Oryzias latipes: one gene and its partners. The protein of the gene in region 1 purifies or fractionates together with the protein of each later gene. This does not show direct contact. Links are inferred from orthologs where the notes say so. Each region holds a gene or a part of one and is shown in the gene's direction. Other genes may lie near its edges. The genes, in order: mediator of RNA polymerase II transcription subunit 26, cdk19, polr2b, med9 and cdk8.

Evidence for each region.
Region 2: the proteins of mediator of RNA polymerase II transcription subunit 26 (region 1) and cdk19 purify together in Homo sapiens (affinity purification with mass spectrometry; 4 studies listed by BioGRID and IntAct, with this or other methods). This does not show direct contact. The link is inferred for Oryzias latipes from reciprocal best matches to the Homo sapiens genes MED26 and CDK19.
Region 3: the proteins of mediator of RNA polymerase II transcription subunit 26 (region 1) and polr2b purify together in Homo sapiens (affinity purification with mass spectrometry; 3 studies listed by BioGRID and IntAct, with this or other methods). This does not show direct contact. The link is inferred for Oryzias latipes from reciprocal best matches to the Homo sapiens genes MED26 and POLR2B.
Region 4: the proteins of mediator of RNA polymerase II transcription subunit 26 (region 1) and med9 purify together in Homo sapiens (affinity purification with mass spectrometry; 6 studies listed by BioGRID and IntAct, with this or other methods). This does not show direct contact. The link is inferred for Oryzias latipes from reciprocal best matches to the Homo sapiens genes MED26 and MED9.
Region 5: the proteins of mediator of RNA polymerase II transcription subunit 26 (region 1) and cdk8 purify together in Homo sapiens (affinity purification with mass spectrometry; 5 studies listed by BioGRID and IntAct, with this or other methods). This does not show direct contact. The link is inferred for Oryzias latipes from reciprocal best matches to the Homo sapiens genes MED26 and CDK8.

The regions. Positions count from the first base shown.
Region 1 is NC_019875.2:6,559,894-6,564,730, forward strand, and holds the end of mediator of RNA polymerase II transcription subunit 26, read left to right. Parts: intron 1-1,448; coding exon 1,449-1,523; intron 1,524-1,607; coding exon 1,608-3,239; 3' UTR 3,240-4,819; downstream 4,820-4,837. UniProt on the Homo sapiens protein: Component of the Mediator complex, a coactivator involved in the regulated transcription of nearly all RNA polymerase II-dependent genes.
Region 2 is NC_019882.2:10,375,622-10,381,795, forward strand, and holds part of cdk19 (cyclin-dependent kinase 19), read left to right. Parts: intron 1-198; coding exon 199-256; intron 257-571; coding exon 572-703; intron 704-768; coding exon 769-912; intron 913-1,359; coding exon 1,360-1,429; intron 1,430-1,516; coding exon 1,517-1,589; intron 1,590-2,603; coding exon 2,604-2,701; intron 2,702-2,812; coding exon 2,813-2,891; intron 2,892-3,600; coding exon 3,601-3,834; intron 3,835-6,174.
Region 3 is NC_019868.2:3,851,029-3,857,798, reverse strand, and holds the start of polr2b (DNA-directed RNA polymerase II subunit RPB2), read left to right. Parts: upstream 1-3,056; 5' UTR 3,057-3,172; coding exon 3,173-3,191; intron 3,192-4,301; coding exon 4,302-4,374; intron 4,375-4,675; coding exon 4,676-4,826; intron 4,827-6,624; coding exon 6,625-6,737; intron 6,738-6,770. Other genes in the region: gar1 (H/ACA ribonucleoprotein complex subunit 1), read left to right, coding at 1-17, 238-392, 466-525, 612-738, 815-901, 973-983. UniProt on the Homo sapiens protein: Catalytic core component of RNA polymerase II (Pol II), a DNA-dependent RNA polymerase which synthesizes mRNA precursors and many functional non-coding RNAs using the four ribonucleoside triphosphates as substrates.
Region 4 is NC_019866.2:10,873,788-10,878,910, forward strand, and holds med9 (mediator of RNA polymerase II transcription subunit 9), read left to right. Parts: upstream 1-2,566; 5' UTR 2,567-2,618; coding exon 2,619-2,698; intron 2,699-2,893; coding exon 2,894-3,113; 3' UTR 3,114-3,318; downstream 3,319-5,123. Other genes in the region: rasd1 (dexamethasone-induced Ras-related protein 1), read right to left, coding at 4,213-4,736, 4,846-5,116.
Region 5 is NC_019878.2:17,541,418-17,548,248, reverse strand, and holds the start of cdk8 (cyclin-dependent kinase 8), read left to right. Parts: upstream 1-3,207; 5' UTR 3,208-3,601; coding exon 3,602-3,729; intron 3,730-4,829; coding exon 4,830-4,905; intron 4,906-6,114; coding exon 6,115-6,225; intron 6,226-6,746; coding exon 6,747-6,831. Other genes in the region: E3 ubiquitin-protein ligase RNF6, read right to left, coding at 1,053-1,194.

The DNA.
Region 1 (4,837 bases):
CCAAATGCAATAGGTAAACTTGAGTCAGCCGCATACATTTATACTAAATGTGGTCATTAAAATAATTATGTTATTGATTACAAGATCTTTTTTATGTGCTTTACATTTTATTATTTGACAAGAAATTCTATTTTAGCGATTTTTACAAACTAGATTTATGTTTATTTTAACTGCCCTTTCTGCATATCATGTGTGGCCAGCAGTGGAGACGAGCAGAAAGTTGGATTCAAGACATTTAGCATTTGTTTTAGTGCTAATTCTTTGGTTTTTTGGTTGGTTGGTTGTTACAATAACTTGAATAATACAAAAAAAATTGAACAAAAAAAATAAGGAGTGTGTGCTGCTGTTTTTTTCTTTTCTTTTTTGTAATAAGTTTATTTATATAAATATAAACCTTGCAATCATAACTGTTAGAAACTGACATTTGGGCCAGTTAAACCAGAATACACACCATAAATAAATATTGTTTCTCATACAGTCCTTCATTTACTCATGTTGGAAAAATAAGTTTATGGCCAATGTGTCACCCTATTATACATTTGGTGCAACAAACAATTATGTCAGACACTGCTTAAAATTCAAAATGTCATTATTTATGAGGGAAAAAGAACTTTAGGTTACAAAATGAAACGTGAAATTAAAATATAGAGCCCTAGCAGATCTCAACGCTATGTAGCTATGTAGTTTGTCCAAGCGGTGTTACCGTAGTGTGATGTCATCATTAGTCGCAGAACCCTGAACAGTTATTGCAGGCTAAATACTTTTGGTACCTACACCAGCCTAGTTGAATTCCATTTTGATCTGTGATATTTTTAGAGTATGCTTTGCGGGAGCTGTGGTCTTCATGGGAGACCATGCACCCTTGGGCACTGCGTTGGTGACCCCATCCAGGGTTTCACAGCAGCTAATCAGGACACAAAACAGGGTGTGCAGTTTGGGAAAAAAACAGCTGCATAATTGCTCTTACAGAATGAGCGAACGGCAAAAGATGAACTCCAATGTAGAAAGGGAAGACTGTCTTCTGTTTGACAGGGATTCTTAGAGGGGTTCAGGTCGGAGCACAGACTGCAGAGTGGTGGATTAAGATGTCTCTTATGTGGGTCTCCATGGAGAGGCCGGATTGAAGGCAAGCCGGATCCTGCCCACGACCCTGATTTAGACAATTTGACTGAACTCACCTGGTTATCACAGGTGTCTGAGATGGATGTCAGTGATCCACACCATAATCCATGAGTTTGATTTGAAAAATTCATCTTTTTGACTCTTAAATACAAAACAATTGCATAATAATTTGGAACACACTGTATAAATGTGAGGTAATGAATCCCAAGAGAAGCATACCAATTTGTTATATCTGCATTTGGTGTCAATCTTTATTGAATGTTGTTCAACAGTGTGGATGCCAGCATTGTCTTTGAACTCATGAAACAACTGTCTGTTTTTTGCAGATTTGCAACATGGTGATTGTGTTGGAAGTAATTAACTGTCTGGAGAAATATCCTATCACCAAAGAAGCACTTGAGGTAAAGCGTGCATTCCTAAACAGATACTCCATACTGAAAGGAAAATACTGACTTTCTTCTCTGATTTTCTCACATATTTTACAGGAAACGCGACTTGGAAAACTGATCAATGATATTAGAAAGAAGACCAAGGATGAAGATCTTGCAAAGCGCGCAAAGAAACTGTTGAAAAACTGGCAAAAACTGATTGAACCTGGGCCAGTTGTGGCACCCAGTGTCACTGGGTCGACAAATGGCAGTTCTCATCTGTGCCGAACCGACCCCTCTCCTCCAGAGATTTCTGTGTTGGGGAAAGGATTTGCTGATGTTAGGATGAGAAATTATGTTCAGAACACGTATTCACCTAAAGCTGAAAAATCAAGCAAGCGCAAGGTAGAGCACAGCAGACTGCACTTAACAGAAAACCTCTCAAAGACGTCTACATATGATAATTCTGTCTCCCCACTACCCACCAATGGGATTGCTGGCAGCCCAAGAACCCAGTTTGAACAAGATGTCACAGTGTCTCCTGGTAAATGCCGAGTAGATCACCTTGATGACGACAGAGTGAACAGAACTTCAGTCAATTCTGTCAGGCCTTGTCCCAACTCCCCTGGGGTGGAAAAACTACCCAGCACTTCCTCTTTGGTTAAAGTTGCAGTAATCCAGCAACATGCCAGGCTGGAGGAAGAAGGAGGGAGCTACAATCAAGGCAAGAGTCCTCGCAGTGTCACTTCCAGTCCGCGGAGCCAGAAGCATGACTCCTTACCAAAGCGCTCCGTACCATATGGACTGAAAGGAACGCCAATCCCAAGTCCTTCTTCCAGAGACTCTCCCTTATCCTTTTCCCAGGCTTTGGCTTCTCCGGGTCAACCATCTTTTGCTGAGAAGCTGCCCCATTTATCTCATAAGCCTTTGTCACACACAACCAGTTTGTATGAACCCCAGGATGTATCTGGAACTCTGGATTCACCATCAGCCTCCCCTCTCCTCTGTCAACAGAATACAGAATCCCAGAGATCAAGATTGGAAGCGGGCTTTGTGGTGTCTGATGATACTGATAGAATGACAGCAGCCAACTCTGAGCATAAAAGGAGGAAGTACAAGTCCAGAGACTTCTCTATTAACCTGGATGGGCAGAAAGTGGAAGACACAACTAAGAGAGTACGGTTAAAAGAACGCAGACTAACGTTTGACCCAGTCACAGGTCAGATCAAACCTCTGGTGCATAAAGATCCTTCTCCAGTAGAGGTGTCCTCTACTCCTGATCCAGCAGAGTTTAGGCAGAGAACAGAAAGTTCTGTCCAGCAGTCGGCTGCCACAACAACAAGTCCTTGCCCTAACCCTTTCCTCCAGACTAACTGGAAAGAGCTGTCTAGAAACGAAATCATTCAGTCTTACTTGAACCTTCAGAGCAATTTGCTCACCTCTTCAGGGGTTCAGACCCCCAGTGCACACTTTTTTATGTCAGAATATCTCAAAAGGGAAGAACAGGAGACCAAAGAGTCCAAGAAAATGCACGTTTTGCAGACAGACAGCTCAAAGGGGGATTTACCAGGCATGAGTCGGCAGTTGACGGACAAGGACTTGGAGAGGATCCACACACAACAGTGGCCAGGAGTAAATGGTTGTTATGACACCAATGGCACCTGGTATGCTTGGACAGAGTGCATATCACTGGACCCCCATGGGGATGAAAACAAATTGAACATCCTGCCATATGTTTGCCTTGACTGAGGAGTGTGGAAAGCTTGTTTTCTTTTTCATTCCTTTTGTTTTGTCTTCACCAATGAAGCATAGTTTTAGATTTTGTTGTTCACTGTGAGTTTGGCAAAAAAAAAACAAAAAAAAAAACAGGGCTGCTTAACCCCCCTCCCCATGGCTCAACCTGTGATTACAATTTGTTATCAAATAATACAGATAAAAAAAGTCAATTTCTGAGATATCAAGGGCTGTTTCTGTCTTTTTTTTTTTTACTTTAAAGGCCACAAAGATGAAAATAGCCATGTCAGCTCTGCTGTCACCCTGATGGAAATGGTTTTCTGAGCCTGAGACGTTCCCATGTGAATTGTTGATCAGAAGTGCAGCCTTGTTTGACGGGGATCAAATCCTTCTCATTGAGCTTCTCATTTGGAAAAGAGTCCAGATCCGTCTGTAGGAAGGAAGGCTGGGGTTTGTGCCTGGAGTTCATAGAGTACAAACAGAGTGAAACATGTCCACAATTGAAAACATTTGAACATGTTTGGCAGTTGAGATATTTTGTGATGTATAAAAAGTAAAGTATATGTTCCTTTTAATATGTTCTTCTATTTATTTTTGACCAATTCAGTCATGGAAAGTTTGTCCGTTCTTCATAACTTTTTTCTTGAGCGTGTTGTCAGCCTCCTCTTTGTCATCATCTCTTTTAGATTGGCCTTTTTTTTGGATCAACATTCCAGAGTCAAACTTTATTTCTGGTTTCTTGTCTTACAGCTCATAAAGGTTTTGTTTCCTATTGGCACTCAGTTTTTCTGAACCTGAACCTCCAGTTTCCATAAAAAGAACACGTTTTCCATCCTGTTGGTGTCCAAACCAAGGAATCGGATGGTTACAGCGCTGAAAGGACGAGCAGTTGTGTTTGCATGCTGAAGCCCTTTATGTTCCCAAAGAGATGGTTTGCCTTATGATGTTGTTGGACAATATTGTTTAGTTGAACAGCCTTAGTGAATGTACAAGCATTGTGACCTCTTTTGCACTTGTACATAAAATGACAGCTTGTCAGTCATTCCACCATCTACTTGATTCAAGTTTAAATAGCAATTTATTCTCCAACAAGTTTTAAGGGAGCATTACTTCTGCTGGTATTGTTTGCTAGGATAAAAACATCGAGCTGCAAGGATTATAGATTTCTTATTCGAAGAACGAGTCACTTTTCCTGATTTCAGTTTTCCTATTTGCTACTACTTTTCTCATGATTCAAGTTGAGATGGGGTTTAGCCAATCATTCTTTAATTTATCCCTACCAATGTGCCTTTATTAAGGTAAACTAGGTTTGCTTGTGCATAAACTGTGCCTGTCCAGACCTGGGCTGCAAGGATCCCAGATTCCATTATCTGTATGACCTTCATATATGCATATGCACCGCTTCCTGGAAGTTTTTCTAAACTCTGATCTGGAGACAACAAACAAGGGTAAACTGCACAACAAGAGAGCTGGCAATAAAAGAATTGCTTTCAACTATTTAAGGAAGAGTTTTTCTGAAGTTTTGACCAGGGCATCCAGTTGTTCAGTGTCTAACATCACTCGGTTTAAAAAATAAAATGATCTGAATTCTCCAATTGGTCACCTGCTTGGTA
Region 2 (6,174 bases), on another chromosome or scaffold:
CAAAGATTTATGTTTGCCAAACTGCAAAAGGTGAACCATAATATAAGGAGGGAATACTAACCCTTTAATCAGCCCTTGTAGAAAACTAATGTATAAAATTGTGTTTTTTAATGGGATTTTTTGTTTTGTTTTACGTTTTTGGTGAACAAACAGTGTTGAAGAATTGAATCTAAGATGCTATGTTTGTGTATCCAACAGAAACCAGCAAACATCCTGGTGATGGGAGAAGGTCCGGAGCGAGGAAGAGTCAAAATAGGTGAAGGAAATTTCCATACTGTCTTCCTAACATTTGCACCTCTGCAGGTCTGCTAATGGTTGTTTAGAACAAACTTTGATTTGAAGCTTTTCTTCAGATATGCATTAATCCTTTTACTTTAAATAAGCTGTAGCAATACTTTTAGATGCTACAAAGCTGCTGAGGTGGAATTATAGATTGTATTGTTTTTTTTGTTTTTTGCAACTCCAACCATGAAACTGTATGTGTCAGGAATGGTGTCACCGTTATCTGCTGGCCTTTATTCCTCTCATGTCTTTCTGATACTGTCCCTGTCTCTCTGCTCCAACCCTAAAGCTGACATGGGTTTCGCCCGACTCTTTAACTCGCCCCTTAAGCCGCTGGCAGACCTCGATCCGGTGGTGGTGACCTTCTGGTACCGCGCTCCTGAGCTCTTGCTGGGTGCCCGGCACTACACCAAAGCTATTGGTGAGTCACACAACTAAGAGTGGCCTCCATTTGTAGATATACTCATGCTCATGTGTGTTTTACAGACATCTGGGCGATTGGCTGCATCTTCGCAGAACTGCTGACGTCAGAACCCATTTTTCACTGTCGCCAAGAGGACATCAAGACCAGCAACCCATTCCACCACGACCAGCTAGACCGGATATTCACCGTTATGGGTTTCCCCGCAGGTCTGCTAATGGTTGTTTTGAACAAACTCTGCTTTGAAGCTTTTCTCACATGTGCATTAACCCTTTTACTCTGGAGCTCTGGCTCCAGTCTTGACAGTCTTTACGACTACCATAATTCTTCAACCGTTTATGGAAGTGTTGCTGATATGCAACACTTTACAGTTTTGAAGTGTTTATGTAAGTTAACATACATCTGTGGATAAAAGCGTCTTTGCCCCAGCATGCAACATGTGACGTTACTAATATGTTGAGCGTGTAAGCTGTCGAAGAGTTATGGTACGTCAAAGAGTGTGTGTTAGTCAGATGTCACCAGCGACATATCTGGTGTTTAAGGGCAAACATCAAACATAGATCTTTCTTGAGGGATTAACAAAGGTGTAAACTTTAAAATACCGGACCCTTTTGTTGTGGTAATTGTGACCCCCATGACTTGTTTTCATTCCCCAGATAAAGACTGGGAAGACATCAGGAAGATGCCAGAGTACCCCACCCTTCAGAAGGATTTTAGGAGGACAACGTGAGCAACAATCTGTTCGCCATCAAACCCATAAAGACTAAAATGACAAAATTTCATAGGTGTCTTCACAATGTTCTCACTTGGCAGGTATACAAACAGCAGCTTAATCAAATACATGGAGAAACATAAAGTGAAACCCGACAGCAAGGTCTTCCTATTGGTAAGTGTGCTGATTCAGTTCTGTCAAGTTCAGTTCATTTTCCCAACTGGTGCAATCTTGATGCGCTGGTTAAAGAGCACGAAACATCAAACTATACAAAAGATCTTTTGGATTTAGAAAGAACAAACAAACACAGGGACAAAAACAATGGGACACCTGTTCTAGGACAAAACAGATACAAGTAGACAACTGTAGCAATGGCAATAATGGGAAGCAAACAAAAAAGAGAAACAGAATCAAAAACACTGGAACAGCTGTTTTGTGAAAAAATTGAGATAGTAACTTTAGAGATTAGATAATGGGAAGCAAACAAAAAAAATCACACAGACAACACTGGAACATAAATTAAAAGATAAAATAGAGACAAGTAACTGCAGGTACACACCACAGGTCCTGAGAAAAACTAGCTTGCCCAGTGTAGGAAACACTGTAATTTAACCTTTAAGCACCGGAGGGGTGGCTCTGGTGTTAACATTCTTGGTATTACGGGAACTCTTTGACCGATTGCACAACAACAAAATTCCAACAGATTCTGAAAGCTGAGAAAAAGCTTTGCACGGTTATGCAAGACTTTAAAAGCTGTTTTCTCATTTTTTGAAATCCAGTAGAATTGCTTTAATTGTGCAAAGGGTTGAAGTTATGGTAGTTTAAAGATCATGTGTTACTTGTTGTTGTTGGGGACAGCTCTGGCTTTACGGGGTTCATTGGGAAAAATACTGCCCAAAGAGTTAATCCATGAAAGTGTGACTTAGGTTCGATATTGCCTTGTTGGTAGATCTGTTGTGAAAATGTGAAGAAGCTCATAAACGTGACCGTCAGAGAAAGTGCATGACTTTTTTTGAATCGTTTTCTTCTTGGTCAGTGTTTGTTTGGGAAGAACAATGTTAAAGCAAATCATGTCACAATGGGAGCATTTCTTGCCCTGTTGAAGCAGTTTTACGGAACTATTCTAGTGTCGAAACATTGTCAGGCTTATTTTAAAGCTGGCTGGAAAACTGTGCTGTTTGTCTTCAGCTTCAGAAACTCCTCACCATGGACCCTAACAAGCGCATCACATCTGAGCTGGCGCTGCAGGACCCCTACTTCCTTGAGGACCCATTACCGACCACAGAGTGAGCCTTTTGCACAAGTTCCATCTCAGCAGGAGAAATATTCATGTTTTATCACGAGTGTCTGCTGTAAATGTCCGACTGGCCTGATGTTGGTTTGGATTTTCTTTTCAGTGTGTTTGCTGGCTGTCAGATTCCCTACCCCAAACGAGAGTTTCTGAACGAAGACGAGCCCGAAGAGAAAACGGAAAAGGTAATAGCACGCTGACATAATGTGACTTCACAGGCCACACCTTAACAATACCCATTCAGTGGATAATTTGGTCTTTTGGGGGGTTCTGTAGTATATTTCTGAAAGCTGAATGATCCACTTCATCAAAACAAGTATTCTTACTTCAATTAATGAATACTTTGAATACACCATTTGTGCCTCAAATGTCTTCTTGGTACCTTTGAGAGCAGATCAGCATGGTAGGTACAGAGTTTGTGTTTTGAAGAAAAAGTATCCAAGAATTTCAAGGTCTGACGTTGAAAAGGAGGACGAACAAAGGCCGTCTGTGATCAGACACATAGTATACTAAAAGGTGACCTCTGATTGATTTTAGCTTCTATCCCCAGATGTATCTTCTTTAGAAGCTTTTTTTTTTTTTTGCAGTCACTTCATTTTGGCTTTGGTCTATACTTATTTTATGTTTTACATACCAAAACCTCCAAACCTCTAAATTATATCTGTCTAAAATACAGACCTTAGTAAGCTTTATGTAAACAAGATGACCTAACAGGTAACCAGCATAAACATATTGCTTACATTAAGGTCATTTTTACTGTTTAGTCAGATTGTTGTTGCTCAACAAACAAGTAAATCAATAGTCCCTAAAGAATCCTCCCAGGTTGTTCTTCATTGTCTTCTCTGTGTTAACTAAGTTTGTTGTTTTGTGTGTCTCTGCAAAAAACAAACCAAGCAGCACCAGCAGACGGCAGGCCAGACTCAGACCCAGAACCAGCAACAGACGACGGCCCAGCAGGCCCCCTCCCAGCAGAGCTCGGCCCAAACCAATGGCACCACTGGAGGCGCGGGAGCCACCGGCGGTGGGGGTCTGCAGCACAGTCAGGATCAGGGTCCACCCAACAAGAAACCTCGGCTCGGGCCCTCTGGGGCTTCCTCAGGCACGGGGGTTTTACAGTCAGAATACCAGGTAAGTTCTGCTAATGTGTGGTCGATTGTTGGGTCTCTTGATATCAGCTTTCCCACATTTTAAACCCTTTTACTATTTAACCCTTTAACTCCAGTAGTACTACATAAGTAGACCCCAACTCACCAACGTGTTTTTTACCTAATCATAGATGACTTCTTTCATTCACGGCGAGGGAACAAGTGAAACGATAAAAATCTTGAACGAGACTGAAAGAAAACCTGAGAGCTGCATCTCCATATCTGCACGCTTCAATTCAATTCAGTTTAGGTTCAACAATTAGTTGTGCTTACAGATCTGTCTCAAAGTGATTGGATAAAAATGGTTGATTTTCCTTTAAAATGGTGAATTAGATGATGGTCACAAAATAATCAAGGTTATTCTTTGTAATTGAAATTACTCTATATTTAAAGCTCAGACTCAAAGAAGCCATAATATGGTTAACAGTGATGAAGGAACGAATAATTAAACTTCCCCCCAGCTTCACTCCACTCTCCTGTATTCTCCTCTTAGGCTTTTAAACCTTTCATTTCTCCATAGTGCTGTAGCTGGAGTTTTCCCTTTTTTGTGGAGCTACAACGTCTATGGATGCTTTAGTTAGTTGTTTATAATCATCAACAATAAAATCACTTGATTCAGAAAAAATATGAGCCAGAAATTGGGGTAAAATATTGATAAACTGGAAGCTACATCTGAAGTTATACATTCCTTCCTTTATTGTAATTTTAGTCAAAATAAATGTACAATTCTAAAGCTTCGGTTCACATGCGAGGTTTCTTGAGGCGCCACTTTGTGAAAGCATGAAACCATCAAACTATGCTGACAGGATATTTCACAAAACTGCATGTTAACAAACCAAGAGACCTCTGGGATAATGTCCTTTGAACACACGATACCAAAAAGATAAGCGAGACACTCTTTGTTCATAGAGATTGCTTTATTTGAAATACAGAAACACACGTCCAAAGTAAATCTCTTTCAGATTAAAAAAATCATTACTGTGGATGATCAGACTGACAAATTGTTGACCAGCTGCTTTTATGTTGGATGGAGAACGTGTGTGATTGGGCTTCTGCTGGTCTCAAGTGATGTTCCTCCTCATGACAGCCTTAAATGAACGTTTGTCAACAGGATTTGTTGAGATAGTGACTCAAAGAGTCTGATTCACACTTATTTGCTTTTAGTTTGTCATTGACATGTTGATAGATGGACAGACGCCCTTTCTGTCCGGCCTGCTTTTGAAGGTCAAAGCAGAATCCAGGCTTTTAACTGCCTACAGGGTTCACACCCATTAATGTAGCGGTGAGCTGAATCTTGACATGGAAACCGGATTTCTATTCTGCGTAATGACTTGGCAGCAGAACATTTTGACCATTACAGTTATATAATCCTGTTGTCTTAGTTCCAGGAGCTTTTGTTTGAGAGTGAAAGAGTAATGGTGGAGAAAACACGTGCATCTCCACAGTAGACAATACCAGTAGATAAGTGGCGTCCAGTCCAGAGCGCCTGCTGACAGAGCGACGTGGAGCATCTGTTTTCCTGTCAGGCGTCACATTTATCAGTGTTTATCACAGAAGAGAGCTGAGGGTGCAGACTAAGAGATGACAGAAACACATGACACATGTCACAGAAGTGGAGTTTAATGTCAGGGTGTGAGGGAAAGGAGACCAGAGAGAAGTATGGAGGTGATTCCATGAGGCCACAGAGGGGTAACTTTTTCAGGGAAAGACAGCTGACTCCTATCAGATGGGCACAGGTCAGAGTAAACCCTTCAGCATTACATCACAAACATGCATACTTATAGCACACAATTACTCCTATAGGCTCTAGGTTTTTATTTTTTCAAAATTGTTTTTTTTTGGGTTTTAGAACAGCAATATTGAACACGTGATATGAAACAATATATCCATTTTTTTTCCTTTCCCCCCCTGTTCACACACATTGGAACCAAAAAGAAAAAGAAAGAACCCCAAACAGAAAGGCGATACACATCCCATCACCAATCCTCCAGAAAAAAAAAGGGAAGTACAACAGATGTGATTAATACCAAGAGCAACTCTCCAGGGATTACGAATAGGAGATGTGTAGAGCAGTAGAACACACAAAAAACAAAATGGTCTTCATAAACACAGAACAAATTATTCAGGTCAGTGATAATTTAAAGTGACAATTAGTAAAGCAAAATAAGATAAAAGAAATAACTAAAAGTACATTTTTTGGTAAAATGAGAGCCAGCTAGGTGTTTATGTTACGTGATTGTAAAGTTTTAACATTTCCAGAAAAGGGTTGCCAAAGGCTCTAGGTTTTTGTGTACGTAGAGCCTGAAAACAGGCTTAAAAACTT
Region 3 (6,770 bases), on another chromosome or scaffold:
CCCCGAGCATGTGGTCGGTAAGAGCAGCCAGTAGAGGCGTCCATGCAGACTGTTAGGAGCAGCTGCTGTGTCCTGAAGGTCATCAGAGGAGGTCACGTTCTCAGCGTGGTTCCTGGTTGGCATAACGGGGTCACACGCGTGTAAACGGGGACACAGCTGCAGCCTGGAACACAAACGCTTTCACACCTCAGAGGATCTGACACGAGGTGACCGCCTGCTTCAATCCTGTCTCTGCAGCTCTGGGCGAGTTCGTCCATCCCTGTGAAGATGACATCGTCTGCAAGTGTACCACCGAGGAGAACAAAGTCCCCTACTTCAACGCTCCGGTCTACCTGGAAAACAAGGAGCAGATCGGGAAAGTGGATGAGATCTTCGGGCAGCTGCGGGACTTCGTATCCTTTTGGTGCGTGAGCGGAGCGAGTCTGAAACACCGGCATGAGAGCATGCTCCTTATGAGTCCTGCAGTACTTTTCTGTCAAACTGTCTGAAAACATGAAGGCGTCTTCCTTCAAGAAGCTGCAGAAGGTAAAGGCCTCTTCCTCCTCCTCTTCCTCCTGCTGTGTGGCTGAATGCTGCTGTGTCTGTGGGACACTCACACCCCTCTCTATCAGTTTTACATAGACCCCATGAAGCTGCTCCCACTGCAGAGGTTTCTGCCCAGGCCTCCGGGGGAAAAGGGTCCGCCCCGGGGAGGGCGGGGCGGCGGGCGAGGTGGAGGAAGAGGAGGAGGTCGTGGAGGTGAGGCATGACATGACATGACTGCATGACAGTCGTGGAATCAGAAAGGAGTAACGGTCCTGCGGGTCTGTCTCAGGAGGTTTCCGGGGTGGGCGGGGCGGAGGTGGACGCGGTGGAGGAGGCTTCAGAGGAAGAGGAGGTGGTGGTGGCCGAGGATTCAGAGGTGGGTTCACCGTCAGGCGTCCTACTGTGCGCTGTTTGTGTCGTCTGAGCTGTGTCGCTGTTTCCTCGCAGGAGGACGATAAAGGAGGAGGCGCGGCCCTCCATCTGCGTGGGACAGACTCCTCACGAGGAGCAGCGGCTCTTCCTGTTTTTTTGGAAGAGCCGTGGACCTGGATCTTTTCCTTCGGAGGGTTTGTGTGACGCATCTCTGTGGTGCGTTCATGAACGGGTTTATTTCAGCCTGTGGTGGTTTAACCACGGATGGACACTTTTTTAAGGCTCTGATTAAACAATGCTTTGTAAACACGTGTGTGTGTTTTATTTCCTTTACCCGACTTTTGAAAAAGCAGCTGCGCTGTCTGGAAGACGGATGAGTGATGAGAAGCTGTCATTTCCAAAAATCCCTCTGTTTTAGGCTCAGGGATGAAGAAGGGAAAGCTCTTTGAGAGCAACGACATTTCAAATGTTCACTGAATTGCAGCTTTGAAAAATCCCACAAAGATTTTCAATCATTTACGCTTTAATGACAACCAAAAGAAAATTCTTTTTTCCTTTTTTTTTTTAGACATTTATTCCATTTTTGGGCTGTCTTTGTTTTCTTGTTTGATTTTCAAGTCATTTTATGTTAAACTATTAAAAAATTTAACTTTTTACAAGTAGTTTTGGATAATGCAGCATTTATTTCTCCGTTTACCATGACTCGTGATTTCTATCAATGTTGGACTTCCACCCCCTGCAGCTTTACACTAAACATCAGTTTTGTAAAAAGGAATTCTGTATAAATGGTTGAATCCCTTCCTTTCTGTGGTTCTTGGTCCTCCTGCAGCGTCTAGAGTGGCATTCAAATCCATCACATCACGTCCTTCACATGAGCTGCAGTTGATGGTGGAGTTCTCTCTCTTCTGATGTGTCAATTATGAAAAATACAGTTCTAGCTAACCCAGATTATCTACAAAGATTAGAATTGTTCTGTAGGTGTTGGGAGGGGGATTAAAAGCTGCAACAATAGGACCGTTTGTGATGACTAAGCTTTTCCTCATCAAAGACTCCATTCACTGATGGTACAGAAAATAGATCGTTATAAAACTCTGGTTTTACATAAAATTCCCAACAGTACTAGAAAAAATAAAATCTCATTTTTAGACAATCTTTCAATCAATAGAAGAGTTTCTGCTTTTCCCTCCACTATGTAGCAGAGGGTTGTAACACTTACAGGCTACGTCTGTTTCAGATGGATCTGGATTTATACGTTATTTGGGTTCTACCATCTTCTTTTTTACAGAAACACCTTAAAACCTCTGATAGTGAACTTAAATAATGTTAGGAAAACGGATCAGATGTAAAACCTGCTGCATCTCTGCTCATGTTTTACTAAAAGCTTCACTTTCTGGATGTTTGTCAATTTGTTCAAATTTACTGTTAATTTTAATCAAACATACTTAAAATCCTTTCAAAAAAGTCCTGTGACTTCATTATTTTCTAATCAACACAGAGGAAAGGCTTCCGGCAGGAAGTGAAGTCCACTTGGCCTCTTGTTAAACTGCAGTGATTATTTTTTTATAGTTAATTTTATGATTCATTTTAAGTATTGAAATCATGGAATTATACAATAAAGAACAGAAATCCAAAATTTAAACAGATTAAATCCATTTCAGATAAAAAGTAATAATTGATAAGAAAAAAGATGTAATGAGATGATGCTATCATATTGACAGTGTGTTTATTCATAATTATAAATAGATGCTTTGCATTAATGCATACAGAACACATGCACGTTACATTAGACCATTAAGATGCACTACCAAGCGTCATTGATTATCAACAAAAACATTAGTTATAAGTTCACACATCCTTATATTTGGGATTTACATGAACACAAAATGACCTGTAAGTCCTCTCATCTCCATATTGAGAAACAAAAGTTTCCTTCTACAATTTCTTGAATTTATGGATATTTAAACATTGTAAGTTGAACACTGATTGAAGGGAAAACCTAATGATATTAGAGTAAAATGTTAAGTATCTATAGTTAGCTTTGATGTCTGATTTATTATTGTTACATTTGTTTTACTAACTGCACTTCGCACACTGCTGTTCTTGGCCTCAACCGCAGGGGGCGCTGTCACAGCAGATGACCGCCAAACACCGGAAACCCCGCAGAAAAAGAAGAAGTGTTTCCGGGTCTCTGTGTCAGGCTGCGCGCCGCTTCTCCGTGTTTTTGTCTTCTTTTTTCTGAAGCCGTCTTTGTTTTGAGGGATTTTCGGAAGCCATCATGTACGACCAGGACGAAGGTGAGGCGCGGATTCCACGCAGCGCCGTTAGAGCTGCGCGTGAACGCTCACGCATGGCGAACGTCTCCTCCATCCATGATCATGATGTTCCATGTTGTTCAACCAAAACCTGTCTGAAGCTTCTTTGCATGCAGCAAGTTTCTGGAACCGGACTTTCTGTAGTTGAACAGACTCTTAAAACCGAGACGCACGTAGTAACCAGGGGGGAAAAACACGCGTGGAAAACGAGCAGACTAGGAAACACGCAAATAACTTTAGTCAGTCCGGCTGGGGGGAAACATTAGCACTTTGTCGCGATATTTTGAAGTATTTTATGCCAAACCAGAAATGTTTGTTCACCAATATGGTCATCATTGAATAGTTGGAGAATTGAAGAAGAAGAAGACTGTTTTCTGGGAATGGGCCCACCACCCTCCCTGGTCAGTGGGATGCTGTGGGAGGTGACTGCCGTGCAGGAGCAGCGCCGCTCCACAGCAGCAGGAGCAGCAGCTGAGTGGCTTTAACATCTGTTCAGTCTGTTTGTTAACCTGTAAACACGCTCACTGATTCTGGTTAAGTGACTGTCCGAATAATCCAAATCTACAATTCCAAAATCCAGATCGCTAGAAATTTCCCAGAAGTCTCTGCGAAAAACCAGTGTGCCTTGATGGTCACTTGATTGGTGAATTTGGACCACAATGCATTGCGTTTGAACAATTTTTCATTTGAAAAAAAAGTATTTAAAGGAATTTCTATTAACCATCATCATGATGATGATGATGGTCATCATCAAACATGTTCAGATTTACGTCATAAAATGTCATATTTGCCATAAAAGAAAAGCAGTAAACATGGCTTTAATTGGCTTTAATAACCAGGGCAATAGATAGTTTTTTAAGTAGTTAGGATGTAGAGAAGGAATATGAACATAAACCCTCACTCCCTCTGTCATGATAACACAGTCATATACAAACAAACCTTTATTTGCAGTCCAGACCGATGACGGACACCCACCAAACTAACTAGAGCGTAACCCTAAGGAACCAACAGCTCAGTGTTGATGACCAGCTGCTGTCAGTTACCTTTAATGTCTTAGTGTGGATGTGGCCTCATCATTTCTGTGTCTGTTAGATAACCAGTATGATGAAGACGATGATGAAATCACCCCAGATCTGTGGCAGGAAGCATGCTGGATCGTCATCAGGTAAGCTCACCTGTCAGGCCCACTGTGACAAAACATGAGTGGGTTTCTGCTGCCGCACACGCAGCAGTCACGCAGTCACCAGAGCGTTCTGCATCAGAAACCCAAACTGCTGTTTAGATAGAGTTCAATAAAAAACAAAGGAAAAGTTGAACCTTTTTCTGATCATCTTTTACACTTTAAGCCTCTTCAGTCATCTCTTTTAATCATCGGTTCTGTGAGTTTCTGGTGCAGGATGTGACGCAGACGGTTCTGATCCGCTGCAGCTCTCCGAGCTCTTCCTGAACTGCTGTCTGTTCTGCAGCTCGTACTTCGATGAGAAGGGTTTGGTGCGGCAGCAGCTGGACTCCTTCGATGAGTTCATCCAGATGTCCGTGCAGAGGATTGTGGAGGACGCGCCTCCCATCGACCTGCAGGCTGAAGCACAGCACACGTCAGGGGAGGTGGAGGAGCCGGTGAGTCTGCGTTGGCTGGTTTGGGCTGCAGGTCCTTCAGTTTTAGTAGGAGCTTCTGATTTTTATGCCACATCAGGGCTCCAGACTAACTTTTTTCACTAGGAGCACTGTGGCCCCTAACTGAAAATTCTAGGGGCGCATACCGTAAATCAACATGCTAACCAAATCTATTCATTTCCACTGTATTACTAATAAATACTTTAATAATAGATGCAGAAATTAAAATGTGCTGTTTCAAATTCAGTGTCACATTTTATTCTTCACTTTTGAAGATGCAACAAGAAGGTAAACTGACAGCACCATCGCTGTCATGACAGTACAAATAGTAAAGAAAACAGATGGAAATTTATCTTTGTGACACCAAATAGGTGCAGCCAAGATGCACAATAAGTGTGTTTGAGATCACCCAGGTGAACTCAACGCTGCACAGATCACCTGGTGTGAGACATATATTTTTGTTTTTGCTCCAACATCAACTGTCAATCATCACAAAAATATCGCGAGAAAGGGGTGGGAGCAAGGGGCAAACCTACCCGGACACAGCTGGAAACTAGAGACTACAAAACAATGCATTATGGGACATGTGTCCTGATGGTTTTTGTAGTGGAGTGATTAATTAAAATAATTTAAAATACCAATTCATTAAAAAGGCTACATACATCACAAAACATTAAAATAATCATAAAATATATAATAACACAGATCATACTAAGGGGGAGAAGAATATTAAAACTAAATTGAATGTTAAGGACAACTCCAACTGTTGTCCTTCAGTCTTGCTGCAGATTCGCCTTCATCTCACAGTGCCCCCCCCCCCCCCCCCCCCCCCCCCCCCCCCCCCCGCCTGGTCTCCCTAACGATCCAGGCGAGGTGCCGGTTCATCTCAAACACGTCTATCGTTGCATTTTCCCCACGTATTTTCAGTGTGTCTAAAACTAATCTTGTTTTTGCTCGAGCGTGTTTAAAGTTCAAGCCCCGTTAGCTGTCACGCATGTAGGTGTGGGACATTTATTCTCCTCAGCTGACCCGAGTCCCGCGGGACGGGAGCGGTGTGCTGCCGTAACCCGTTTGATGCACCGCCGTGACCGTAACCAAAACCTAAACCTTCCTCCGGGTCTGTGTGACCCAGAGAAAAGTTCAGCATGGACTGCATGTATTTAGAAAATCACGAGCGAATAAATACGTCAGTAACCATGAGGTGCACCGTCTCGGCTTATGATTAAAGGCAAATCCAAGTCCATGACCCCCCCCCCCCCCCCCCCCCCCCCCCCCCCCCCCCCAGAGGTCATTCTGAAGCTTTTTGGGGGGATGGAAGGGTAAAGAGAGAGAGCACAGGTGAAAGGATCACATTCAATCGCAAAAGGCGGCGAAAAGTGCAATAAACGGTTACGTTAAATGTGCTAAAACAATCTTATGGCTGCTTGAAGAATTTAACAAATCAAATAAATCCATTTATGCATTTGACCGATCAGATGGACGCCTTCACGTTGTTGACCAATCAGATGGAGCTCTTTTATGTTAGACGTTTGCCTCCCATGCAGACGAGGATCATTGAGTGTCATTTTTAAACTGTTGCAGTTAAATGGATGTTCTTGGTTGTTTTGCTGTTTGTTCAGGTATCGCAAGTTAAATCGCTATCGCTATATTGATCACTAATATCGCGAGTTTTCCTCATCGTGCAGCTCTATCAAAAACCAGCTTTGTTGTCAAGTAAACCCCGGAGCCTTCATCTGTTCCTCTCCATCACACTCAAATGCCTACCGGAGGCTTTTAGGGAGAACTGTGTTTTCTGTTGTAGCCTCGGTTCCTGCTGAAGTTTGAGCAGATCTACCTGTCCAAGCCCACCCACTGGGAGAGAGACGGAGCGCCCTCCCCCATGATGCCCAACGAGGCGCGGCTGCGAAACCTCACGTAGGTCTCTGCGAGCGTGCGCTCCCCGGACGT
Region 4 (5,123 bases), on another chromosome or scaffold:
TCAAGCCTAATGTTTGGAAATACAGCCAGCTTGTTTGGAAAAAAATAGTGTCAGACCGATATAAGTGTGCTATGATTAGCCAACAGATCAGCAGACAGGGCATCTGCATCCCACCAGCTTTCCACCAAGGATGCTAGGATGTGACCCATCTGTTGGAAACTGTCAGCTGTCTTCTTTACGTCATTGCAGAGAGCGGGCGGGGTAAACCTAACCATTTGGGGGGTGTTATGGAGAAGTTCAAAAGGAAGTGTTCGGATATGACCCAGCCAAAGAGTCGCACTAGAACTCTCTTGGCAGTCGTTGCATTTTCTACTGAGTTTATGGAAGAAGTTTTCCAGGAAAAGGCAAGTAGTTCATCTTTGTCCATAAAAGGGAAATTCTGTGGGCTAAATTTTGAACCAGCAATGGTCAAAGCGTTGTTTTTATTAATAAAAATTGTAAAATGATCCACAATTCAACAAAGAATTATCCCTCAAAATCTGATGTGTTTTCATTATTAGGTTATATTTTATTTTTTTAAATTAAGGAAAATCTAAAAAAGTGTAAAGTGAAACTATCCTTTTATATGTTGCCAAATGTATTCAACTTTTCACATATTTTGCAATGTAAAAAGAAGAAAAACACACCTATTTCAATATATCTGCAACTAATTAAACAAAAACAAAACATTTCAACAGGATTTTGAAGAAAAAAAACTATTTTTTTTATTTAAATCCTTGCTGCAATTTTAGTTTTAAAAGTCATATTTGACTGCAAGGGAGACAATCCCAGCTACTGCAACGGCATTTACTGTATGTCGCTCTAAAAGTGATTTCTGCAAATCCTGGCTAATGTTCAAAACTGGATTTAAATTATTACTAAATCTAAAAATAATTATGCAAGCTCCTTCGCTGCCTCAAAAGTGAGGTTCAGCTCATCAGCATATAAAAACAGCGATATTCTCTTTTCAAATTGGTTTGATATGTGTGATGCAATGACCAGATCCGTCAAAATGATCCAAGATTTGATAGTTTACACTGTGATAGTTTACATTGTAAAATGCTCTGAAAACGTCAATTTGAGGTTACTAATATATTCTGTTTAGTTTGTGCAAAACCTCCCAATCAAGTCGAAATGGAAATCCTTACTTTTACAGTCAGTGGCGCCACTCATTTAGATATCCATTCTTTGTCACACCTCTGGGTAAAAGCCTCACACTTAATTTAATGCTCACTGCCTGTGTCACGTTGGCATTCTATCTTCTCCAGGGGAGACTGAGTTTTTCCCTTTCTGTGTTCACCAGGTGTGAGTAATGAACTCATGGGATGTTCGCTGCATCAAGAGGTCAAACTTGATTTCATGTGAAATGGATGTAAACATGAGTTATTTGGGCTAAAAAGAATACATTTAAAAATAAAACACATAATTCAACATCAAACAGGAGAATCGTCATTGCTACACATGCATAATCGTGTAGTCACTTGTACTAACAAAGAATTGAGCAAATTAGCCATTTTAATTCTCCGTGTTGCCTAATGTATTGCCAAACAGGGCTTTAGAAAATAACCAGGAAGTAAGCTTTTCATTATTTTGTTTTATTTTCTACATACTAAATATTGTATCCCCAATCAACAAGGACGCACTGTGTAAACAGAAAAGGAAAAAGGGTTTCCAGACAGAGATGCACGACCTGAATGAAACACTTCATTTATCTTCCAAACAGACAAATTGCGTGACGCACCGTGAGACTATATTTGTGCTTGCTATGAGCTCTAGTGTTTACACAGCTCCCCATTTTTCAGTTCTCAAGCATGTCTTGTGTTGACTTTCGATGTCAGTACTTCAGGTTACCAAGTAGCAAGACGTGTAGCCAAGGTCATTCCAAGTCCTAGGTCATGTGTTTATTATGTGCATTGACAAATGGTCTGTGACCTCCATCCATCCATCCATCCATCTTACTCTGCTTTACCGGGACTGGGTCACGGGGGCAGTCTAAGCAAAGATGCCCAGACTTCCCTCGCCCCTGCTACTTCCTCCAGCTCTTCTGGGAGGGACCCCAAGGTGTTCCCAGGCCAGCCGAGAGACGTAGTTTCTCCAGCGTGTCCTGGGTCTTCCCCGGGGCCTCCGCATAGTGGGACATGCCCGCAACACCTCCCCAGAGAGGCGTACAGGAGGCACCCGGACTTGATGCCCGAGCAACCTTGGAATAGGTCTGGGACCTATTCTGAGCAAAATGATGACATGCCACGAGAATTGCAAGGGCTTTATCAGAAAGAAATCAGTCCCAAATCTTTTAGATCTTTTTTCTTGTGTTTGAAATTTATTACAGCAAATTTTTCTTTGTTATTTCTTGTTTTGTGTCAAGACTTTTTAATAGTTTGGGAATCATACCATGACTTATATGACTTACCATCTCAAGGTAATCATTTTTTTCATACTTTTGATAACTAGAGTATTCATTCATTCATTCATTCATTCATTTATTCATTCAATCAATCATTCACTCATTCATCTATAATCATTGTTGTTGTTGTTGTTGTTCAACATCAATTGAACTTTTTTAAAGTTGTGATTTCAGTTGAGATTCTCGGAGTAACCTGTGACGTCATCAGCCTGCGCCAGTTGCAGAAGGAGTAGCAATGGCGGTAGCTCAGGCTAAGCTCGTGAAGGAGACCGAAGACTGCTCTTTGCTGCCCTTAGTTCACGACATTATCAAATGGTAAGCTGTTTCCTGTGTGCTGGGTTTACGTATATGTTGGTATTTACTAAATGGTTCACGGTAAACTCTCGTTGGGGGTATTTACGGTTTGCTATATGAGAAGTGACGTGAACGCTTCCCATCATGGGTGCAGTTTTGCCTTTAATAGAAGTCTGTTATTTATGTATTTATTTATTTATTTATGTTTCTGCTTAGCATGGATAAGGACAGCCCGGATGTCAACCAGGAGCTGACAAAACTAAAAACAAAGATCCAAGAAACCCGGGAGCAGATCTCTAACATGTCTGGGATAGACTGCAGTCCGCCGGAGCAGCAGCAGCAGCTGGCCACGCTGCGGGAGCAGGTCCGCACCAAGAACCAGCTGCTGCAGAAGTACAAGGGACTGTGCATGTTTGATGTGCCTAAGGCGTCGTGAGACAACAGACTACAAACTGGAGACTTGAGCAAAGACGTTTATTTCTACGGTTTACCATTTAAAAAAAAACCTGAAATGAAAAATGGGACTTTTGTTTTTCTTTTTTGTTTGCATCAGTGTGAATGATCTGCTCTGTTTCTGAAGTATCTGTTATTATTTCAAGTTGTAAATCTCTATTTTTAATAAATTAAATCGTGCTATAGTGTTTTACTTGTTTTCATTATTATTATTATTATTATTATTATTAATAATAAATGTATAAGGGCTTTGATGCTTTATTGAGCAGACCATTTAGTCTGAATCTAAAAGGTTTTTAAATAAAGGAAAGCATTTGCCACGGCACACACTTTCACATAACTTTATGTAGTTCCTTTTCACAACATGCAAAGTAAATCTAATTTAATGTGAATCAGCATTTTTCTCTAAACAAAGTTTGATTTTAATCATAAATGATATTGTCTCTAATGGGCCAAATATTACATCTGTTGATATCTACTAAATAGCCTCTAATTATATGTGCTGCACTGCCTCCTAGTCTAATTGTTTTCCTTCTCTGTTATTGTGCCATGGTTATCATTTGTGCAAACAATGGAGTCCTAATGAATAATTATTCAGGCTGTTAGCTCTTTTTATATATAAGTCCATTTAATTTCAGAATGTCTCAATAAATGATGTGTTATAAACATGTATTTTCATTCGAACAGCAGAATGAAAACGTATATATAATTCTTAAAGTGTTTGTTTTATGCGAGAAATTGGAGAGTGGGACTGAGAACAGACTATGAAAGTATCAAGTTTTTTATTTTTTATTTTCTCTTTATGCAAAAGTGGACAAGGACATAATAAATATACACATGGAGTTCATTTGTTCATTCTGCAGCAAACATTCAAGTTTGAAAAAAAGGCAACATGTAAACTTGGTTTTCACCTTCTAGTGCTGCGCATAGAAAGCAAAATGTAGAAACAGATTTACAGCATTTTCAGAGCATCGATTTCACTACATGTCTTGGCTCATATTGGACAAGAGTGCCTAAAGTTTGTCGCAGACGCGCTGCGCATAGTCACATGGGGACAAAGTTTTTTGCGCTCGTAGAAATGGTCAGCAAATTACGCAGCCCTTTTCTTTGGCGTGGCCGCCGCCGATGGCTTTCTCCTTTATGTACATCAAGTCACTGTGCACGCTTGGTCTTCGTGCGAACGGTGCCACAATCCCATATGCGTTCCCATCTTTGCACTTCTTGCTTCTGAAAGACTTTCTGTGGAGAACGTCGCAGTACTGCAGGGAAACTTTGCAGTGCCGATCAGGACTCATTTCGTTTGGCAGCTTGGCCATGGTAAAGAGAGTCTGAAACATCTGGTCGACGTTGGTGTTCTTCTTCGCTGAGATTTCAAAGTATGCGCACTGTTCATCTCCACCAACCAGCTGCTCAATCTCCTCGTCCTGCACCTCCCGGTAAAAGTCTCTGTCGCACTTGTTGCCGCAGATGACCAGCGGGACGTCCACGTTCTCCTTAGTTTTGTTTCGCAGGCATGACTTGGTCTCGTGGATTTGGCGCTTCAGGCGCTGCACCTCTTGAAAGGAATCTCTGTTGTCCAGGCTGAACACTAAGATGAAAACATCACCTGGAAGAACAGAGGAAACGTGCGTTTTAGAGCTGAACAAAACCAGTGTTGCCGGGAAATATTTCCTCTATCCTAGAAGCATAATGTGCAAGTTTCAAGCTGAACTCACCAGTGAGAATTGAAAGCCTCCTCATTGCAGGGAAGGGGTGGTTTCCAGATGTGTCCAGGATGTCCAACTGGTAAACGTCCCCTCTAATGCTGTAAAATTTCCGGTGGAAATCTTCAATGGTGGGTGTGTATTGGTCATCAAATCTCTCATTCAGAAACCGAGAGATGATGGCTGTCTTCCCAACTTTAGTGGAGCCCAGGATCACCATCCTGTGACAATTCTTGGCTGGAATGTCGAAGTCATTCTCCGACGGTGACATCTTCTTAATCATACTTGCA
Region 5 (6,831 bases), on another chromosome or scaffold:
CCACTCAGCTATGGATACAAATTTCACAATGTTAAAGCATAAAAAACAAATGTTTTTGCTTTAAAAATACAGGCAATGGTAACAAAATGACAAAGGAAAAGTTAATTTTTTATCTCATGAGTGAACTCAAATCAAAGTCAAATTCTTTAACACGGGTTCTGAAATAATACACACAGGCATATTTAGATCATTAGTGAGGCCATACCAGCTCCCATATGCAAACCAAAATTAGAAAATCATAAGTTAATGCAGTTCTGGCAATATTGGAAATATTATAAAACCAAACTGTCTGGGAGGAACTTCAATATCTCAGCATCTCATGAGATAACATGCAGCGTAAGACCAAGATATTCAAATATTAACCTAATGGTAATTTCTCTTAAATTAACATCAGGTTTTTCAAAATTACTGAAGGTCAAACAGTGTGACAGATGATGACTAAATGTAACAGATGAATAAGAGCACAGAGGCCGTGTTGCTTTGTTAGCTTGGAAGGAGAGAAATGTCTATTACAGTCATATGCAGCATTGTTTCAGTCCCACACATGCCAGTCTGAATGTAACTTTGTAGTAGTTCTACAAAAATGTTATGAAACTTTATGAACAGTATTATTTATTGTAAAAACCTAGATACTCACAATTAGGACTGGACCAAATGCCATAATAACTCAATCTTGTCTTAAAAGCACATGTGGTTTTGAGAATTTATGAAAAACATAAAAGTCGCAAATCCAACAAAGTTAAGCCATTTAACTGTAAAATTGTATCCGTACTAAAATATCTGCATCTCAGTCATAAAACAAATTCAGTTTATTTGCAAACATTTCCATTAAACATTGTAATTCAAAGAAAATTTACCAATGACTTTTGAGCATAAAAAGCTTTTTAAAAGCAGGTGTTAAAAAGAATGTGTTGCTAAAAATAAGTGGAAAAAATTAAATAAAGAGTTTAATTAAATCTATGTCACACTGTCATAAAAATTACATTGAAAGATCACAGCATGCAACTCAACTGACAACCCAGAGTCCATGTAATGTGTATGCCAATCCTCACCAGGGGTGCCCAGCAGGTTACCATCTCTCATGAGGCGGTACTCGTCTTCACTCAATTCATTTATGAAGTGATAATATGCTTCCTCCCGTCGAAGACGCTCTGCCTGCCTCTGCCGTTCATCTCCCCCACTGGGAGGGTCCATAACAAAGAAGAGTGCTGGAAGGCCCATGTGGAAGGGTGTCAGAGAAATGGACACGGTGAAGCAACATTTCACTTCAGTTCACAAAAATGTGGAACATTTATTCTAATGAAGTTAGACATGCTTCCAATCAGACAACATTAGTTCGTGACCATCAGTCTATATTCTTCTGTTTTATTCTTGTCTAAACAAATTTTAATTATACTTTATAATTTTACTGTTTTGTGGCCATACTATCCTAACTGTGATTCTTGTCAATGCTTTTCTAAAAGGTCTTTTTTGTGCATAAAATAAACTTGCCTCTCTAATACTTGTTATAATTTCTACTTAATTTACAAGAGTATTCAAGGTTCAACACTAATAGCAAAATCATTTGTGTATAGGACTAAGCAATATGGACAGCACAGTAGTATTAACATTTGTGGAAAAAAGGTATAGTCATATATGTTCTGCTGTAAAGGCCCAGCTATAATTTGCATAAATCACTGATCAAATGCCTGTGAGCGAGTATACATAAATAATAACCATGAATAGTATCCCCAAAAGGCCATGTCCAAATCATGTTGTTCAGCTGACTCTTAACCAATCACCGCCCCTGTTTGGTTTTAGTGGCAGGTCAAGTAACCAATCACCGTGCGACAGAGGCGGAAAATGAAACCTATTAAACGGAGATCTACTCCATGTAAACGCAGGACAAGGAAGGAAACACAAAGTCGTGAACAGCACTAAACAATAAAACGATTAAGATATTATACTGGGAATACACGTACGACAACACTTTAACGAGGCTGTTTGTTCTATATTTACTTCAAGACGCTACAATGTTGATTTAAACAAGCAACGCGTCAACTGCTAACTAGCATGCTAGTGATATAACGTCAGCTAGTAGTAGCAGCACTGAAGTCGACAGCCGTTTAGCTGAGAGGCAAAACCTCATAACGCACCACATATGCTGTTACAACAAGTTCGCCGGATATTGCACATATGATCTATCTTTATAGATAAATGGAAACCACATTAGGAAGTAGTGTCAGTAACATTTGCTTTAGAGAAGTACCTGACAAAGCAGCTGTAATGGAAGGTTCTCTCCGCTTTCCCCTTTCTCTCCGACCAAGATGGGACCAGCGGTGCTACATGACTCTGCTCGCCGGAAACAAAATTCCTTAACCCTTAGTTCCTACAAACACAGCTTTTTGTTTATTTCTTTGTTTGTTTGTAATCTTTTTTTAAGTTCCTTGTGATATTATTGACTGGTAAATTTGCTTCTAACATTGATTAAAAGATTAAACATGTTTTTTTTTCTTTTAGTCTACTGTATGCACCAACTGACATCCTTCGTCAGCAGCAAACTAAATGCTGTCTTTTTATTTTTATTTTTAGAATTAATATGCAAAATACAACAAAAATTGAGATTAAATAGAACAATTATGTTGAAAAAAACGGGGATGGCGTATGCATTACAAAACATACATTATAATATAGTAAAAATATTATATATATATATTATATAATTATATATTATATATAAAAATATATTAAAAGACAGACAACTTTCAAATATATTTTTTTTTGTTGTTGCTACTGTTAGAAATTGTACTCCAGTCAATCAAAAAATGTGTATGCATACAGGGAGACATTAGATTAACGAGGATAATTCTAGGTATTGTATTCTTTTTTTTGCTTGTTTGTTTAAATAGAAAATTGTGACTTCTCATGGCATTTCGGTGTGTATGTAAATAGCCTTATTTATGTACCATTTCACGTTTTTTCTCTTATAGAGGTTTTATGTATTTAAATACTTGTTTTCTTTTATGTTTGTTTTTAGGATTTATCAATAATTACTTTTAAAGATTACTATTTGTTGAACTGTAAAAACTAAACACTGGCAAGTGACTGCATAATAAAAGAAAGAATATCTGAAAAACCTTCCTCGGCTTTATTTGTTTGTTGTTCACCCACGTACTGATTTATTTATTTATTTATTTAAGTGCGAATATCCACGTGGTTGTGTATCTCTGCCATTCTCCTTTCTCTGCTGCAGGGGCTGTCTTTACGACACTTTGCGACAATGGCTGGCACGATTACGCCGTGGCTACAGACTGAATTGCGTCTCTTTGGAGAAGATACCGGCTGAGAGAAACGCAGAAACAACAGAAAGGAAATTGTAAAATCGGGCCTTTTTCAGCACGGATAATTGCCAATCTCCGCGCTTACCCATCGGAAGGTTATTTTCGAGCCCAAACCTCGATGTGGAAGCTGAGCTGAAGAAAGAAAGGGACCCGCTGGGAAGGCAACTAGCTGAAATAACCAAAAACCGAGCTCGTTGAGTCAAGGAGCCTAGTTGCCTCCCTAGCGACGCTTTAAAAAGAAAGGAAGAAACGCAGACATTCAGCCTCTGAAGTGGTGAAAAATGGACTATGACTTTAAACTGAAGCTGACCGGTGAACGAGAGCGCGTCGAGGACCTGTTTGAGTACGAAGGATGCAAAGTGGGAAGAGGCACCTACGGTCATGTGTACAAGGCGAAGAGAAAAGATGGGTGAGTTGATGACCAACAAGGCCTCCAGCCGCTGAACCCTGCGCCAGCCCCCTCCCGCTCCATTTAAACCACTTTAGTTTGCCCCCTTTCGCGGTGGAGGAAGCGTGCTGCAGACAAAAACAGCAATAGCAGAGTGTTAAAAAGCCCACACTAGGATGCTGAGGAAGCTTTGTGTAGCAGCACTACTAGCTTAAATGAGGAGTGACATTTTCTCTCATGGATGGGAGGCTAATTTAGCAGGAATATATTTGCAACCATTGCATGCAGCTTTGTGGTTGGTTCTGTGTGAGCATCATTAAATTGTATTAGTTAAGGTTAGATCTAATTAAATTGATATTGTACTTATTGTGGTTCTCAGGTCTTGTTTATCATAATCCACACACATTTAATTATGAATTTGATTATGATTTTCCAGTGGAAATAAAGGTTTATTGGCAGTATAGATGTGTCTGAGATCAGTTTTTTAAACTAATATTTAGACAGGAAATTAAGCTTCAATAATAATTATTTTTTAGGGGACATATTTTTTCTAGTAGTGACACTGGGATTTGTTATTTATGTTGTTAATGTTAAAGCAACACTTGAGCTTTTAAAGTGCAACTTTCCGATGTGGTCCCTAGCTTTATCTGGCCCTAACCTGGGTTAAAGCAGCAACTTCCTGGCCCACACAAGGCGCATTACCCTAAAGGAGAAAATCTGGACAGCAGAACCATAGAAAGAAGCTTTGAGATGTTTGTGTTACTGTTGTTTATGAGACACCGTGGGCTGCAGAATCTTTCCAACTACAAAGTGTGGATTTATAAGATAATTTAGGCCAAGAGGAGGAACGATATTCAAGAGTGAGCCAGTCCCAGAGCTCTGTTTGTCCCTCCCAGCTGCCAGAAACCGCCTGTTTCCTCTCCCCCTTTATTGTTTAGAGCCTCAGAGGTGAGCTTGATTACACAAATCTGGAGGTAATGCAGCTCAGCCTCTTCACCAGCTCCCCACACCAGCTGCCAAGTGCCCCCCTCCCGTCCTTTATTTTTGTTTTCTGTGCATAGAGCTTTCTGGGGGCCTGCTGTCTGGCCTGGTGTTGATGTGCTGGATTTTTCTGTTTTTAGGAAGGATGATAAAGACTACGCCCTCAAGCAGATAGAAGGCACTGGCATCTCCATGTCAGCCTGCAGAGAGATTGCAGTAAGGGCTTTTTCCCACTGGTTAATACATTTATGCCATTCTTTTCATTTAGAATATTTTTGTTTTAACCACTCATTAAATGAAACCAAAATTGGTTTATTGCATTTATTCATTTGTAAAATAAGTTCATAATCATCCTAAACTTTAAATAAGACAAATTAAGATATTTCATTGAAAGGACATTTGTGTTTATTGGATTAAAATGTTTCAAAATGCACTACAATATGTCCTTAGTGTGACATCTGACCATATTAGCAGCTTTCTGTCCCTTGAATCCTTTTACGTCTAAACTTAAAGGGATAGAACACCAAAATGTTTTTTTTTCTTGTGATTTAAATAAAGATTAGCTGTTTTCAACAAGGACAAAGAAAATGAAGCAGGCTTTGCATAAAATGCTTGTTTAGCTCGCTCCACCCCATCTCAAAAAGCCATTTGTGACTTTTAACATTACATTTAGCAGCTAGTTACCCATCATTCTTCCTGTACATGCTGGATACTGGTGGAATAGTCAGACATGAAAAAGGAAATTATTAATTTAAGTTGAACAAAACCCCTTAAAGATCATTTACTCGCTGCTTACCAGCACTGAAAATCATATTTGTGTTCAAAAATCGAAAGTCTGGGTTGGCATTCTCTCACTTTGGTTGTTGCCAGATTATTTATTTATCGTCTTTGCAGGTCAGAGGCTTGTTCAAGTACCGAAAGAACTGTTCTAGAAGCACCAAGCTCAGGGAATGTTTGGCAACTACATTTTTTTTCTGAGGCCATAGTAATTGCTGAAGATCACCTCAAACATGCAATACTTTCTGCCTGGTAGTTTTATTGTCTAAAATTGCAACCAGAGAGTGCTGGGATTAACAAACGCACAGCTCCTGCCTGCAGTTTATCACAGCCATGCTGACTCTGACTTTACTCCATAAACAGGCTCCCATCTGTCAAATCTATCAGAATATTTCTTGGTCGTCAGGTAAACAAAAGCTGGAAGGTGTTTGGAATATTTTATGTATGTTTGTGGCGCGTTCAAAATGTTTTGAACTTACAGGCTAACTCAAACACTTTATAGGCATTCATTAATTGTAAGGTTTATCTGCTTTTGGTAGATCGTGCAGGTAATACCTGATTTTCGTTTTATTTTCGGAAATGTTTCTGGTCTGTGTGTTTTTGTCGTTCCTGATTTATGCCATGGAGCTGAAGGGTTTTATGTTGCAGCTGCTGCGGGAGCTGAAGCACCCCAATGTCATCTCCCTGCAGAAGGTTTTCCTGTCACACGCGGACCGTAAAGTATGGCTGCTCTTTGACTATGCGGAGCATGATCTCTGGGTAAAATGGAAACACACACTGGAACTGCACTACTCATCAATCACACTACTGCTGTGCGAGGGGAGAGCCAATACGATGTTTTTCTACTTTAACTTTTTTCACAAGTAACAAATCCCCACCTATGCTCAACGATATGTTACATAAATTACACTGCACGTCAGTACTTTGAAGATTTTTCTCTACACGCGGGAATGCGCCCCTTTGATGCTTCACACTTCAGAAAGAAAAAAACAACAACACTCCAGTCTGTTGGTGTCATGAGAAGAATTACTTTGCTTTTTGGTAGTTAAACCCTTTTCCATTTAAGTAAGCAGTTACGACTGGCAGAGAATGTAAGTGAAATACCTTTTACTGCCGCAGAGCTGCAACACTTGCATTCCCCCTCCACAGAAGTGGAAACACATGCTTAAACCATATTGCCTGTAGAACACACATGTCAGTGTGTGGATCTGTAGAAAAGAGTCCATTTTGGTAAATGTGCTCATTCATGGTACAGCTGCTGTTTTCTTGTCTTCCCGTAGCACATTATAAAGTTTCACAGAGCATCCAAGGCCAACAAGAAGCCGCTTCAGCTTCCCAGAGGAATGGTGAAGTCTCTGCTCTACC